Linked DNA regions of Arabidopsis thaliana. The protein of the gene in region 1 interacts with the protein of each later gene in a pairwise test. Each region holds a gene or a part of one and is shown in the gene's direction. Other genes may lie near its edges.

Region 1 (9,454 bases):
GATTTCTCATGAACCGAATTTATTCAGTTGCTATGATGATTTTGAGGGTCACTTTTAATAGAAAGGATTGTGGGGGTTCACTATCTTTTAGGTTCTTCTACATTTTAGTGTTCGTAACAAGCACTTATGTGTGTTAAGTCTTATAAAGTTAGTTAGATAATTGTAAGTTGTTAGCTTCACATAATTAATTTTATCGATGTTACTAATACCCCACATTTTTTGCGAATCTAAGTTGCAGAAAATAATTGACGTAGTTTACACATTTAACTTCATAAGTAAATAAAATATGATGGAGAGATGAAATTTAATTCAAATTTGTAGCACAAGATCTTTTGGAGAACTCACAACAAGTTTAGATTTAGTTTTAGGCAACGAGATTTGGGGTTAAGGTATAGGGGTTAAGCATATTAATTTATTTGGAGTTTTAACTCAAAATCAAATAGTAAAGAATGGATTGACCATAATTAAGTATTTTTCCATCTATCTATATGGGGCTCCACATGCCTTAAGAGATCGTGGTTTTTTAGATTTTTTTTTTAAAACTCATCATAATGTACTTCTAAATCTCGACAAAATGAAATCAAGCTTTTGTTGGACATTCAGTTCCGGACAATCGGACTGCATTCAAATAACTTGTTTTCGGACTTGGATATGATGTTAAGTATCATATATTCATATGCGTCCAACTAAATATCAATTGACAAAAATTGGATTGACACATATCTCTTATATACTAGTGTTTCTTTTTAAAACTTTCAATGTGGGATCTTATTAAAAGAAATCCTCTTCTCAAAACTTTATAAACTTTCATTAGACTAATTATAAGCTAAACTATCTAAAATCTCTTACATATTATTTGAGAAGTCGCAATTTTTTTTGTCATCTCACTTTATTGAGTAAAGAATAATATCAAACATAAAACAAGTTAATCTAAGACTTGCAGATAATAAACCAACATGGGAAGATAATTGAAGGATTATCTTCTAGCTTAGAGAACATGTGTCGCAATTAATTTGATGACAAAGGGCACTCATGAGGATATGATTTAGAAATGTCATCGAATACTGACGATCGATTTTTTCGAGTCCGATGAATTACAATTCACAGAGGTAAAGAAATCTGCTTTTGAATCACCGATTCTTCTAACTTCTATTCAGATGATAGGTTAAATGAAGAAGAAGAAAAAAAGAGAAGAAAATCTATCAAGATCCCTTATGCTAGCCCAAAATCACATCAAGTTTTTCACATAATGAGATTTAGCAAAAACTTGTAAACGTAGGTTTGCCGGATCTCTTGTTCCTCATCCACTTGCCAATCTTCGTAATCCAAAAGGTAAATATCTATGTTTAATTATCTTCTAGATTTTAAGGCACAACGGATTGATCGTTCTATATTGTATGCACGATTGAAGAAGTTGTTTAAGAAGCACAAACATTTGACTATCGGCTTTAACACCTTTTTGTCACTTGGAGATAAGATATTTCTTCATGGTGACGCAGAAGCCTCTACTAGCTCCACCGCAAAAGACTATTGAAATTTCTTATCATGGTCATTACACCAATGATACTATCAAAATCTCTAAACTAATCTCTATGTTCAGTTTTTGATGGTTTATTATCAAGTATGTGTCTTTGTAATTATCTTCTCTTCTAAGATTGAATCATCACAATGTTTTTGAATTATTTGATTTTCATTGAATATTTCAACCAACCAAAATGTTTTCGTTCTAGAAATAAAGTCCTAAAGTGACGTACATTCGTTTTCTAATGAAAATGCTATTTCATAAGTTATTCCTTTCATTTTTTTTGGGTCGTCAAAACATAAGTTAATATTCTTTTTTTATTTGACTAAAACTACTTTTCCAAAATTTTCACCGGGGAAACCTTCTCAAAGCTTTATGAGCTTAAACATATGCAAAGTGTCTCATTAACTTAAATAAATATAGAGTACAATTAATTTGTTCACAACGTTTTTAATAGGAAACTTAGAATATGTTCTGTGATGCACTATATGTTGCTTCGTAAGGAAATTGCATGCGAAAATCTAGTGGAAGAAATTTAGTTAAACGGCAAAAATCTTCAATTAATCGTTTCCTTTATCTACATTACCAAAAGGTTGCGAACATTATGCGACATATGGTGGTTAGAACTTAATACACTAATGTTTTTCAAAGATGCTATTTGTGGAGTTGATAAAGACAAAACATATTTGAAGAAAATAATTTTAAACATGTAGTGTTTAGGAACATCACGGCTTCATAGATATAGAGTCAACTTAATATGTTACAATGATATTGAAATATGTTCTCTAAACTCTAAAAGGTTCTACCTGATTTTCTTAAACAATGCATCTTCGAAAGATAAAGAAAATATATTTTTCTATTTTCTCTTTACATGTCAATGCTTACTATATCATCTTACGATATACTATAAACGTTTTATTCATAAGTAAAAGACAAGTGGCAGATACGTTAAATTTTATAATAGAAATAAATTAGTTAAATCTTAAAAAGTTGCTGAAAATAGAAAGCAAACTACTTATCTTAAAGCAAACGTAAGTCTCTTTAAGAAGAAATACAAAATGAATATATATCGGATTAAATCAAAAAACAAAAAGATACACTTTTGTTTTTCTGAACAAATGAAAAATGATATACACAAGTGGCGGACAATCCATCTATCTCATTTTAGCGAACAATTAATCTTGTCTGCGACTGCGACCTATTTTTTTCTACATCACATCTTTTGTTTCGTATGAACACTAACATGATTGAATGACAAAATTTACTAACAATTCTTATAGTACTGAGCTCTCCTGTCCAATATTTAAAAATGCATACATTTTTTTGTGTGTAACTAAAATTAGTAGAAAATAAATGCTAGTCGTTAAAAAGTGCATATAGCAGATTTCGAGTTTTTTTTAATTGCGATTTCGATTATCAATGGTCGATCGTAGACGTCTTTTTTAGTAAACAAATCTGAAATTTCTATGAAGGTTACCAAATATTTTGGATTTCAACCTAAGATGAAGTTAACCTATGGACGTGTAGAACAGTGGCTGAAGTCTGAAATGATAAGATAAAGTTCAATATGAATACATTACTGAGATGTTACAAAAAACTACATCACTGAATAATTCCTTTATTTTCCAGTTTGGACAGTAGAACCTATCGCTAATTATTTAATTACCAATTAAAAGAAAAAGAAAGAATAATTCCTACAGTTGTTAGGCTATGGTTATAAGTTTCATCTTTGAACTTAAGAAATGCTCTAATTAGTGGTAATGGTAGTTACATCTATATATGTTGATGCAATGTCAAAAAGAAAATCTCTCAAATTAGCAAATCCATACCTATTTATAGACGCATAAGTATATATACCAATTATCCTGGTCGTGCAAATGGATGGTTAGTATTTTTACAACCAAACTAATGTCTAATTTTAAAAAGTAATCATTATTTTGCTTTAGATTTTTAATAGTTAATATTATATGTATAGATAGATTACCGTATGATATAATTGTTTCAAGACACTAGATACTATCTCAATTATAAAACTCACTTTTCCATAATATGGCCGCTTGTTTATAAAAAAAGAAGAGAAATAAAACAATTGATTTGGTTTATATTATTTAATTGCAGATATCTTGTACTTAATTCATTTTGAGATAATTTTGCGTATTTGAGTTCGGACATTGGTAGGTATGGACGATGAAAATAACTGCCTTCATTCTACATGTTTGAGATTTGTTTGTCGACCATATAACACAAGCGGCTAGAAAAATAGGTGACTATTCTCAAATGTCCTGGTTCTATCTAACCTGAAGGATCCCTTGTTCTACCTGGTATAACTACAAGAAAAGGCTGTTTTATAAAATATATCATTTCTTCTATGATTTCTATCTCAACTTTTTTTTTAGTTTTTTTCTTTTAGAACGTTTTCGCTTTCGAATTTTTTAAGAATTTTTTTTTTCTTTATATCTCTAAATAATAGTTTTAAAAACATAACAAGTGATACTGTAATTTTTTTTTCTCTATAAACTTGGCGGTACCCTACTTTTTTCTTATTTTTATTAATAATCTTACTTTGTTATGATAAATTATGTTAATATATGGCAAAACTAAATATATATGAAACTACTGATTACTCATTATCATAATTAATATCTTTGTATAAAAGTAAATAATATTTAGTCGAGAGAGGTATCTTGTTAAAGGAAATAAATCAAAAATTAGTGGCTACCAAGTGGGAGATATAATTTGGAATATTTCCAGTGTATTAGTGTGGTGGGTTTGGAATACCACAAACAGAAATAAAAAGAAAGAAAAATATGAAATAAGACGACAATGTGTGATGTACGTAGAATCAGTTTTAGATTCTAGTACATCAATAGACAAGAAAAAGATTGTGGTTATGATTTCACCGACCCGAGTTAATGCAAATCCGAAACAGTATAAATATGTGTAGAGGGTTCATGCCTATGATACAAATTAAAGAAGCAGAAACAAAAACAAGTAAAACAGAAACAATCAACACAGAGAAACCACCTGTTTGTTCAAGATCAAAGATGTCTATAAATATAAGAGACCCTCTTATAGTAAGCAGAGTTGTTGGAGACGTTCTTGATCCGTTTAATAGATCAATCACTCTAAAGGTTACTTATGGCCAAAGAGAGGTGACTAATGGCTTGGATCTAAGGCCTTCTCAGGTTCAAAACAAGCCAAGAGTTGAGATTGGTGGAGAAGACCTCAGGAACTTCTATACTTTGGTTCTTTCACTTGAACTCCCTTTTGTCTCTTTTCTTCTTTAGTTTCTTCAGTGCTTCTTACACCTTCTTTTTTAAAATAGAAATTATTTTCCTTTTTTGGGGTATACTGAAAATATTTCTTGGGCATGCAGAGACCTTGGTTAAAAATGCCCCACGCTTTCCTTTTCTCTGTTTTTTTATGATTTATTTGGTTTTACTTTATGATACCCAAATCAAAAACTAATTTATATTTCATTTCTTTTTTCATGAAGATGGACCCATAAAATATTTCTTCCTATCCTAAATTAAATAGAGATAAATTTATGATCTATCCCAAATTTTTTCCACCAACTTCTTGCATAAGTGATTATTATTTAGGATAAGAATCTTGGGATTTTTCTTTGTTCCTCCTACCTAATAATTTAATTTGCATTTGTTTTTTTTTGTTTTTTTTTAAGTATAATTTTTTACTATACTTTGAAAATGGCATTTTTGAAATATCCTTTTTGCTAATTAAAATATCTGCAAAAAGATATAGAAAATTGATGTTCATTAAAACAAATATATATATTGATGAATCTCTGTTGTGGAATATTTGAAAACTGTTTGAATAAGGATATTCTGATATTCAAGCCAGCCTTTAAGATACTCTCTGCTATATATAGACATGTAGCTACTACCTTTTTTCTATTCATAGTTTTCTTCTTCTTTCTTGTGTTATCTCATTTTCCAAACTTCAAAAAAGAAAAAGAAAAAAAGACCTTTTGCTTTCTTGATTTCTTTGAAAATGATAATCTTATCTTCTTATAATTCTTCGTCTTATTTGTTTAATGAAGGTTATGGTGGATCCAGATGTTCCAAGTCCTAGCAACCCTCACCTCCGAGAATATCTCCATTGGTTTGTGCACTAACTCAACTCTTTAATTAATTCACTTTTAAGTTATAGCATAGCTCAAACATGTTGCTCGAATTATATATATAGACACTCAACTACACATGTAAAACTGGACATGTATTTTGGATACTTTGAAATTGAGTAGATCACTTATAACTTAAGACTCAAACATTTTACATTTAATAGAAGGAGACATATAAAATCAACTTCGAGAGTGCGATGCATCAATTTGTCTCCCAAAAAAGCCCACACCCAAGCTAAATTGACATATTTTGTTCAAAAACTTTACTATGTGTAATGTAAATATGTATTATGTATGTCTGTGTATTTTACTGATCGCACATAGATTCTATAGAATGTATAGGACGTGACTTGAACTAAGATTTGTTTTTTTCACTTTAAAGTGGTCTTTGTACGGGAATATCATTGAGCTTAAAATAGCCTGATGACATCATCATTGTTCCTTGAAGTGAGCAGGACTAGGTTTCCTGTTATATCACTTTTTATTTTTATTTATATATTCATGCACTTGAATGTTATTGCATGTTTTGCTAGTCACTTGCACTAGTAATCTAGGAATTAGTTACGTTGCTATTATTTTTTTGTAAGAAAATAAAGTTTAAGTAGCATTTCAATTCTGTCAAAAAAAGAAGTAGCATTTCAATTATGTTGTGGTGCCATAGCTTAAACATGTGTATGGCTATCTCTCATTACAGGTTGGTGACTGATATCCCTGCTACAACTGGAACAACCTTTGGTGAGTTTTATTCTATATATTAGATCGCTAGGTGTTAGAAATATAGAAAGGTATATGAAATAGCCTAATTAATTAGTTACTAGCTAGAAAATTCACATGTTTTGATGAACTTTTTATTTTTCAGGCAATGAGATTGTGTGTTACGAAAATCCAAGTCCCACTGCAGGAATTCATCGTGTCGTGTTTATATTGTTTCGACAGCTTGGCAGGCAAACAGTGTATGCACCAGGGTGGCGCCAGAACTTCAACACTCGCGAGTTTGCTGAGATCTACAATCTCGGCCTTCCCGTGGCCGCAGTTTTCTACAATTGTCAGAGGGAGAGTGGCTGCGGAGGAAGAAGACTTTAGATGGCTTCTTCCTTTATAACCAATTGATATTGCATACTCTGATGAGATTTATGCATCTATAGTATTTTAATTTAATAACCATTTTATGATACGAGTAACGAACGGTGATGATGCCTATAGTAGTTCAATATATAAGTGTGTAATAAAAATGAGAGGGGGAGGAAAATGAGAGTGTTTTACTTATATAGTGTGTGATGCGATAATTATATTAATCTACATGAAATGAAGTGTTATATTTATACTTTACGTGTATTCATTTCTTTTCGATGCAAAAATCAGGCAGTGGGAAGAATCTGCTGTTTTACTTTTGGGTTCCATAATACACTTTTTTGTGTTGCTACTAAAGTACTGATAATATCCAAGTCGATCATTATATATCAAACTAAAGAGTTTGCATTCAATACATAAGCTAGAAAAGTAGAGCAATATTTTGGTTTTAAGTTTATGGGCTCACGTATGAAGAAACACATGTGTAAGATCGAATCCTAGGATCAAACCTTAATTATTAAATCCTTGAAAGGTAAACATATGAAGTATTTATACATTCTGAAGATTAATTACTAATGGACTTCGACGTTAGATCTTGTTCCCATGATAGAAAAACGTTTTTTTTTTAATTTGGGATAAATACGAGGAACAACTTAAGCATTTATGTTTTATTTAAAAGCGGTTTAGGCGGTTGTATTGGCTCCGTCTAGACGTTATGCTGTCAAGTTATGGTTAGATCACTGATTCAACGCCTAAAATAGTATAAGTTTCGATTTAATGTATTTTCTATTTTAAAATTAAATTTGAGTTTAAAACTAAAAATAAAACACTTTAGACATCCAAAAAAAGGAAGTGTCTTTCTGTAGTTAAACTTTAAATATCCATAAACTCTTTATGAACGTAGATGGTCTTACTGTCTAATGCTTTCTTGAACATTGATAGCCATCGTTCGATGAAAACGCTCTCCTCCAAGCTGATCAACGATGACATTTAAACGATCTCGAACCCCTTTGATTTTCTTTTATTAACATTTTTTATTGATTAGTAAATTGTGACATAATTATATATGATACAAGAAATTATTGATACACGTGAAAATTTATTAACAGTTGGAAGATAACTCTGACTATGAACCATTTCATTTTAAGGTTCTGTGCATTCAACCGATATATTTTTTGCGTACTTCCACATATCCACTCAGAGGAAGGTCTATATTTGATATAGAATGAAAGAGTAACACGTAAAAGGCTAAAAGTCAAATGATATAGTTATATAAAAAAAAATAAAAAAAAATTAAACATCAGCCATACAAGAAGGTTACAAGAATCTTATGCTCGTAAACGACATCCATGATTATCTAAAACAAAAATAGCATGAGATGAATACTTTGCGTCCCAAAAACTGAAAGTGTCTAGTTTTTATAAAGCAAAGTTATTTAGAGATAAAAAGCAATAGAAGTTTTTTCAACAAATCAAAAAGCAAAAAGGAGAGGTAGCATGATATTTAGGAAAAGATAGATAAGAGAATATTGTCATAAAGAAGAATTTATTGTTGTTCATTGGTGCACGTGTACATACACCTCTTGGGACTTGATCATTCGCATGTGACAGTACTATGAATATAACATGTCAGTAACCAAAAAAAACAATTGGTCCATTATTTTCAGGTTTTACTCCATCATACGGACAGTCTTGTCAAACCAAGTGTAATGATGTCCACGACGATATTTGTTATTTTCAGATTTGAATAGTGGAGCATGTAACGCCTCGACTACTTTTGTAGTAGGTCCATGATATTTTTCTAGTTGACTATTTGTCTATCGATGATTTTATGTTTGACTGCTAGTTTAATATGCTCGAAAATTCGTTAGATATTTTCTCTGACCAAAAACATCATCACAATTTTTTTTTTGTTTATTTTCTTGGTTGTAGTTGTAATGTGCACATAGTTCACTTCCATGTATTTATTCGTTCAAAACATCTTAAAGTAAAACAGTTTAGTGTTTCACAAAAAAATGTAAAACAGTTTAGTTTGACTATATTTCATTCATTTAAATATATATTTTGTTCACGTTATTAGATTTCCCACCGGTTCTGGTATTTTTTGTCAATATATGCTCACTTTTTTAGTGTGGAAATAGGGTAACAACTAACAAGGAGGTGAAAGCAAACGAGAAACTGATTACCTAGTTACCTTGGGAGAACATGTGGCTGTTTTTCATATATGTGGACTATACAAGAGGAATAATTTGTTCTAAGGACTATGTTGGTATTGGGGAATTTGAATAGGGAACTTATTTTAATGGGCGCCTCGCAACAATGAAAAAAAATTCTATCTCCTCTTCATGGAGAGCATATGAAACTTTGATCCTATGATGGAGGACCGGTTGATACAATAGGAAGTGTTTTTTTTTCCAGACAAATTGTTTTGAGTTACTGAAAGTGGTAACAAATTCTGAGTGATCTGATTTCTCAACTTTATTTTTTGAGGTTTCAAGCCTGAAAGCTCACTTCTTTCTAATTCTTATATTTTATGTAGCATGTAGTCCTAAATTTCGTTCTTTAGATTAATTCTATTTATATAAACTTGATATGTCTTTTTGCGTAATATCATATTCCGATGATAATTTTGTTTGTTTTACCATTTTTCAAGCTACTTTTTATATATAGATGTTGTACTTTCGTGATATATTTAGTCAACATATTCTGATAAAGTCATAT
Region 2 (8,241 bases), on another chromosome or scaffold:
TATCCAAGTGAAATCATCACAGTCAAAGAAACTCATGGGGGCATTCTCGTTGTCCATCGGTTCATATTAAGAAGATAAAAAGATAATAAAGCAACAGAAAAACTTTTGGAACTTTAGTCATTTATTGACTGAGATTGATAGTAAATTTTTATAACACTATAGGCTTTCATGTTTTCTTTTCTCCTTTCTCGTATATCTTTATGTTTATATATAAAATAGTACATAAAATTTTAGTATTTTCGAATGTATTTTCATAAATCGTAAATGTAAAAGCCAAATGCAAATAGAAGTGTGTTTTTTCTTCTTCTTTCACATTTACATTTATAATCGATAATATTGGTTGACGGCATATTATATAAACTTTTTAACCAAAAAGAACTTATAAAATACATTTGAAACATTATATAGAACTAATATAACTCAATTTAGAATACCTTTATAAACATACCACATATCACCTTAAATTCAATATTTTTACTAGTTGTAATTAAAATAGTGATAACATGTCTTTTTCCTGAAACAGTAATATACATGTTTTTAAAGCCATATAAGCAGGTTGAGCAGAATGAATTAACATCATCACCTATGAAAAGAATAGAAAGAGAAAATAACTTACCAATGAAGACGTGCTAGATAATTGTGAAGAATTGTAGGGCGGTTTTGTATAGATATTAGGGTTGCAACCACACCATACAGAACAATCATCATTTGAAATCTAGAGCTTTGGATAGAGACATGCGGTTTAATTGCGAATAAAATGCAATGTGATTTTAATAATAACGAATATATATATAATTATTTTCGTCACTATTAGAACCACACTGTACTTTGCGATTCTGTCTTCTTTTGAAGCCTACGAGTCACGTCTACTGAATCATTTTAAGACTATTTTTTGTTTTATTTTCCTAATTCTTTGTCATATCTAAAGTTGAATCAATTATGGAATTAGCACTTTAAAGTGTATGTTTTTGTGATTTTAGGAACATTTCAATGTACTCCCAAAAACAGGTAATTATAGGTGATAGTGTTTTATAATTTTCACCCCTTTCAGCTTACACTCACTCTTTTATTTTTTTTCTCGCCGTCGCGACTACCACCTCCGCCGCTGCCATTGACGGAGCCAACTGCCTCCCTCTCATTATAGCCAAATCCCAGAAATTTTGATTATTTTGCTGGCTCTTCAATGACATGAAACCTACTGTTGAACTCACCATTGATGCTCAATTACTTCTCCATCACCTCAACCAAAATTTCGATTCAGATCTAGCGTGGTTGATCTTCTTCTTTGACGAAGCAAGCGATTATCATCCATACCTTTTCTGAATTTTAATTTCTCGATATCAATCAGAATTCTATCATCTCTCGTTTTATTTTAAAAGAGGAAGAAGGAAAACCATTGGAATCTTAATAGATTTGACTATTGTTTAAGATTGGATCCTTTGGGTTCACTATATAGTATCCATTTAGGATTTAACTTTCTTCCATTAAAAAGAAGTTACTTGATTTTATTGGGTTGATTAGAACAAGGTTGTTGGTATAGAAATGTTTGTGAAGCCATCGAAAAAGAAGAAGAAGATGACATTAATTAAACTCTAAAGTAATTTTGTCAATTCAGTTCATAGAAAATGCATAACTCTATAAGCCCATTGTAAAAATGCTCAATTTCAAATTTTTGGGCCAAATATTACTCATTTCTGTAAAAGCTCCATCTAAAATTAGTCTAAACTAGGTCTAATATGTAGTGAAACGAAAGGTCCATAGGATATATTGGACAAAGATTAATACGAAGAGAATTAAAGCTAATGAAGTTTGGGGAAAGAGTAACACAGACCTGACACTTGTTCTATCCATGGGAGCTTGCCACGTCAATCTCATTGTCTTTGGACTCGTAGACAAACATAACTTTTTTTTTTGGTCCGTAGACAAACATAACATGGGTGGGTTATTACTTTTTTTTTTTTTTGGACAAAAAGGTGGGTTATTACTTATTAATTTCGATTAAGAGATTTTCATGGTTTCGTATTCGATTTTATTTTTCTTCTACCGAATCAGAACGGGTACTTCTTTTTGGGTTCAGAAACAAATTCATGTTTGATTTGGCTGGGGTATTATTAGTGGTATCAAAGCTATATAGAAAATGATTTTTTTTTTTCGGGTGGTGATCCATACCCTTACTATCCAACTAATTCTCTCAAAAAGTGTATACTTCGGCTCGCCGAATTTTTTAATGAACCTAAAATATAAAACAACTTCGATTGGTTAAGGGTATTTCCAATAGTGATCTTTATATTTTTCTCTATTTACAGAGGTGACTTTATTTTAGAAACATTGTGCTCTAATGGTTGTTGGGTATGTTTCTCATTGGGTCTTTTATAAAATAACTAAGCTTTAATTCCAACAATAGTTACCTCTAAAATAAAAGAAAAATAGAAATATCTACATTGTATCTCTATAAATAGAAATGTCTACAATTTATCTCTATTTTTCCTTTATTTTTTAAAAAACTCTATTTTAGAAGTGACCATTGGAGCACAATGCCTCTAAATATAATCATTTTTAAAATATAGAAAAATATAGAGGTAACCATTGGAAATGGTCTAAGTGAAAGTGATTTAGAAAGAAAATATTTTTTTTTATGCTAAGATATGGTGAAAATGCGAAATTGTTTAGATAAAAACATCATTTATGAAATGAGGAACATATAACATATCTGTTAGTCACAATTGAATAGTTTTCTCAATGATCTAAAACATAAAATAAATTAATCAGAAAAAGAATATGATGATGAGGAAATGTGATTATTTGTAAAATATATAAAATTTCATGACCCTGTTTTATTTTCTTTTTTTCAATTGTCCTTTGGCATTATAAGCCTCTCCATTCTGGGAACTTTGAAAAATCAATCACATCAGGCTCAGTTATCTTTTACTCAACCAATAAGTTGCTTTCCATTACCACTACCAATATTAATGTATAAAATAGATAAATATATACAGTTATATCTTTCATATTCATAATCACATGTTGTGACATTATTGTAATGACATAATACAAATATACACTTCTTTCTTCTTTTCAAAACCATATTTAACTCGAAATGAGGTCAAACTCAAATTATGATATGATATGGTGCTCATAAGTCATGGATCTAGTTTTTTATATACGTGTTTAAGTGGTTGTAGTGCATTAATCTATTTGATCGGATTTGAAGATAGATTAGAGATATATTATGTAAGCAAAACTATTAGAAAAGTTGAAAATATATAATTACAAAAAGGTAAAAACAAACAGAAAAGTTGGTAAAAATTAAAGCAAAGATCACACACACTTGAAAGCGATTTAAAGGGTCTATTGAATTGTTGTGATATTAAAGTGAGACCAAAACCATAGCTTATTGGTTACCTTTTCAAAACAAAGAATCTCTTTACCCACCAACTCCAGATTTAAGTATCATGCATTCATGCTAATTGGTAAATAATTCCTTCTGTAACATAAAAATGATTATCTTAGGAGAAAAAGTTTGACGTCACATAAGTCATAACTATAGATTTATCACTATCAAATTTTGGATTAAGTGACAAAAAGTCATTACATTAACATATTTTGATTTTGTTTTTTTTCTTTCTAGAACAATTACATCTCTGTTTCTTCTACTACTGGACCCAACCATCATGATACTAGAAATGACCATTGAGAGACAAGAAGTTCACAATCTTTCTCTCTCTGTCTCAAAGCTATAAGACATTTGACATCCCAAAACCAAAAAACAAAGCATTCTATGCTATTCTGTTCTGTTCTCCAATGTTGTCATCAGCAAAGCATAATAAGATCAACAACCATAGTGCCTTTTCAATTTCCTCTTCATCATCATCATTATCAACATCATCCTCCCTAGGCCATAACAAATCTCAAGTCACCATGGAAGAAGTATGGAAAGAAATCAACCTTGGTTCACTTCACTACCATCGGCAACTAAACATTGGTCATGAACCAATGTTAAAGAACCAAAACCCTAATAACTCCATCTTTCAAGATTTCCTCAACATGCCTCTGAATCAACCACCACCACCACCACCACCACCTTCCTCTTCCACCATTGTCACTGCTCTCTATGGCTCTCTGCCTCTTCCGCCTCCTGCCACTGTCCTCAGCTTAAACTCCGGTGTTGGATTCGAGTTTCTTGATACCACAGAAAATCTTCTTGCTTCTAACCCTCGCTCCTTTGAGGAATCTGCAAAGTTTGGTTGTCTTGGTAAGAAAAGAGGCCAAGATTCTGATGATACTAGAGGAGACAGAAGGTATAAGCGTATGATCAAGAACAGAGAATCTGCTGCTCGTTCAAGGGCTAGGAAGCAGGAATGTGTCTCTCCTCACTCTTCTACTTTCTAATTCCTCTAAATCAACAGAATCTCGTATTAAATCAACAATTCCTCTGTACTAAAATTGGTCCATGGATCTTTCAGGCATATACAAACGAACTTGAGCTTGAAATTGCTCACTTGCAGACAGAGAATGCAAGACTCAAGATACAACAAGAGCAGGTAAAACTAACACTGACTTCTTGCTTTAATGCCTTAGTCTAATTTTGTCTTGAGAAACTTGTGCATTACTTCTTGCAGTAACTTTTTCTTGTGAATGTAAGATTCTGCTACTTAAGGCCAATATTTTTATTTTTCTGTTTTTTGGAAAATACAGCTGAAAATAGCCGAAGCAACTCAAAACCAAGTAAAGAAAACACTACAACGGTCTTCCACAGCTCCATTTTGAGAAAAATCTACTATTTCTTTTTGGGGGAGTTTCAAGTGTTTCTTATGAAGATGAGAAAAACAGAAAAAGTTTGTACATTTTAGCTAAGTTAAATTTGTGGTGGTAAGTAATGTAAAAGAAAAGTGTGTGTAGAAGAAAAGTGTCTAGAAAAAGAAAGCAACTAACTTTCTTCTTCTTCTCTGGTTTCCTATCAACTCTTTTGACTTTTGTACTTTTTTTCTTCTCTACTTAACCTCTATTATTGTAATGCCAAGTCAAGTCCTTATCTAGCTAGTACATGAGTTTCTGTTTTCACTGGTTAAGCCATTACTGCACTGTATTGTCAGATGATATAAGTCTTCATAATGATGCTAAGAAGATTTTTTCTTGGTTGACTTCTTTTTGTGTATGCTTTATTAGCAACCAGAAACAACAGAGAAACAGAATAAATACCTAAGAGCAAATTTGGTAGCATCTAATGTTTTAATAAAAGTTGGGCCATGAATATGCTCACATTATAAAGTTGGCTTTATTAGTAACCAGAAACAACAGAGAAACAAAATAAACACCTAAGAGCAAATTTGGTAACATCTAATGTATAAATAAAAGTTGGGCAATGAATTTGCTGACTTCCTTCTTGTAGCAACTTTAAAGATGCTACAAATGCTTGCTTCATTCTGATCCAATAATATTTGTTCTTCTGATGCATCCACCTTCTTCCTCAAACATTTGGAACCAATCTAAAGGAATAATTAACAACAATATGATAGAGATGACATGTTATTCAGTGTAAATTTCTTAACTTTATTTAGCAGGCAGCACATAAAAAATGGGAAAGAATCAGCTAATCTTGATCCTCTATTTGACGAAAATAAAATCTTCAAAATACCAAAAGCTATGAACAAAATATTCAATCTGCAAAACTAACGTGAAAAACTCTTTTTTTTTTTCTTTGGTCACAACATGAAACCTTATTTTTCTGCACTGAAAATTTCATATTATAACTTACAAATTCAACCACAAATGTTTGTTTTTCTTCTTCAAAAGGTCTATTGTTAACAATGATTTGTCACCTATTTGCATCTAGTATAGAATAAGGAAGGTTTTAGAATCTCTATGGAGTATTTTTCCCAAACTAATTTACGTTAAATCTTAATGTCAACAATGAAATAAGAAGATTCATTTCATCATAATAACTGGGTTCTGTTTCGTGCTGGACAAGTCTCATTCTTCCATAAACTGAGGTGTTGGTGGACTCATTTCCTTATTACTCTTCTCTGTACCTGCTTTAAATACTAATTAGATTCAGAAGTATGTTAATATATCTGTAAATGTATATATTTTACCGTAAGAAGCTCGATGAATCTCGACTTCTCTCAGTTCTTGGACAAGGGCACAACAACAACACATTAGATGTGACAAAAAGTCGTCAATGCACCCTCCCTGCAAATTCAAGACATCCGTAAAAACCTTAGCATCACGACCTTAAGAAAGTAGAGGTTTAATTGATGTACCGTTATGTTCAGTGTCTTTCGAAGCTTCTTCCTTATGCAGCAAGTATAGCAACAGCATGAGAGTATCAAAGAATACACGATTAGGTTCTTACACACTTCAGTTGAAGCTGTAAAACCATAAAATCAAAATTTTGTATCAAATTCTTGATAGCTCATACATGGAAAAAAAACTAGTCTGCATTCATATAAGATTTCTTACAGATTTGCCTACTAGTTGCCACAGTGGAAATCTTTGCCAATGTACCACAGGGGAAAAAGAGTGTCTTCAAGCCTTATTTTACAAATTCAAAAGTAGATAAGTATGAATCTTGAAGTGTCACTCGTCAATCTTAACGAGAAAAGAAAGCGTGGAACATTGTTTGGTTAGATAAAAACAGAATGAGAGGGCTTACAAAGACAAGGTTCTGAACAACAATCCAGCAAGTCGGCGTGCCAATTTCCACGGTGTTGCAATGATCTTCCCGAAAGTAGTTCATGTCCGGATGAAACATAAGACGTTGATCTACATTCAACCATTAGACACCAATCAAACATTAGCCTTCAATGATCAAACGTGAACAACACGTTTTGTGAGAACACATTAAGTATATGAATATTTTCATCTATATCGGAGTAAATGGGATTAACCTTGAATCTGCTCGAATACTACTACTATCCGTGTCATACAAATCATCTCTCTTCTTGCTAGAGGTAAGCTCTTCTTTCTTAGTCAACACCTTTTCAAGATTAGGTTCAACAGTAGCAGCAGTTTGTGTAACATCAATCAAACGTTGTATAACTTCACATTGATCAGCATCATACCGCGCCCGCGAACGTTGCAACTCAAGTTGCAGTTTCTCCTCCTCGGTTTTAAGCGCTTCGCAGAACCCCATGTTCGGGTATGAACGAGAGAGCGTCTTCTTTAAAACCGATGTAGCAGCTTCTCTAGTAGATTCTTGTTTCAAAATAACATCTTGCACCTTTCTATCCTCTTCATCAAGAGTATACTCACGCTGATCACGTTCAATAGCTTCTAGCCTCTCCTGCATAACAAATCATTATAACTATGGCAACAACAAAAAGAACAAGAAACCAGTAAACAATGCAAGCGAATTTACCCGAATCCGAGCATTATCCGCCATATTTATTAGTGGAACGATCTTGAGAAACAGATCAATCTCATTCTGAGCTTTTTCAAACTGGTTAACAATGTTCCAGCCCATAGCCAACAAGTAAAGATAACTTTTTTCTTGACAACTTTTGACTAAAATGTAAGATCTTCTAAGAGCATCATCAAGTCCTTGAAGCGGCTCAAGAATCTCTGAACGTTGATTCATCTCAGAGTTTTTAATCTGCTCTAGCAAATTACGGATGAGCTTAAGATGGTGAGCGAATTGACGACAATTCTTCTTGTGCATTCGAGCTGTATTCGCAGCGTTTACTATCATTCCAATCAGTTTCAGAGCGTCTATGCCTGTAAGCTGAGCCACTGACGCAATTTCTCCTAACTGATCCCATGAATTAGCCATTTCTCTTCCTAACCAAAAACAGCTCAAAAACTCAAATTTTGAGACCTAAAACGAAGCAGAACATAAGAAAGTTTGAGACTTTTACCTCGTGTGAACAGATTCTGATTATGAATAACAAAGAGATTTGAAGTTACCAAGGAATCACATTATGGTTCGACTGCGACAATAAAATTCTCTACTACGTTAAAGATCTTCAAAACAGAGAACATTTTAAGAATTTTTTTCTTAAAGTGAAAATTTTATCTGTTTAAGTGTAAACTCATCGGAGAAAAAAATGTTTCTTGGAGAGTGAAATCAAAGTGAACAAACATGGAAAATCATAGAAATTTAGAATATTTTTGTAAGAGAGGAGATAGTGTTGAAATGCTTCACCTCATAGGTTGAAGAAAGTCAAGAATTACAGAGATGGTACTTGTGGAGAAGGTATTAGTCTTGGAACGAGAGGTCAAAGTGATTATCCAAAAAAAGAAGAA

Evidence for each region.
Region 2: the proteins of FT (region 1) and BZIP27 interact in a two-hybrid assay, tested with the Arabidopsis thaliana proteins (one study listed by BioGRID).

What each region holds. Positions count from the first base shown.
Region 1 is NC_003070.9:24,326,944-24,336,397, forward strand, and holds FT (PEBP (phosphatidylethanolamine-binding protein) family protein), read left to right. Parts: upstream 1-4,429; 5' UTR 4,430-4,434; coding exon 4,435-4,767; intron 4,768-5,582; coding exon 5,583-5,644; intron 5,645-6,357; coding exon 6,358-6,398; intron 6,399-6,522; coding exon 6,523-6,746; 3' UTR 6,747-7,056; downstream 7,057-9,454. UniProt on the Arabidopsis thaliana protein: Component of the mobile flower-promoting signal (floral stimulus or florigen). Promotes the transition from vegetative growth to flowering. Required for 'SEPALLATA3' (SEP3) and 'FRUITFULL' (FUL) accumulation in mature rosette leaves.
Region 2 is NC_003071.7:7,719,185-7,727,425, forward strand, and holds BZIP27 (basic region/leucine zipper motif 27), read left to right. Parts: upstream 1-3,640; 5' UTR 3,641-3,801; coding exon 3,802-4,389; 3' UTR 4,390-4,463; coding exon of another isoform or gene 4,464-4,541; intron 4,542-4,695; coding exon of another isoform or gene 4,696-4,767; 3' UTR 4,768-5,107; downstream 5,108-8,241. Other genes in the region: MCA2 (PLAC8 family protein), read right to left, coding at 5,971-6,029, 6,093-6,189, 6,261-6,367, 6,460-6,531, 6,653-6,762, 6,888-7,282, 7,358-7,768. UniProt on the Arabidopsis thaliana protein: Transcription factor required for the transition to flowering promoted by FT.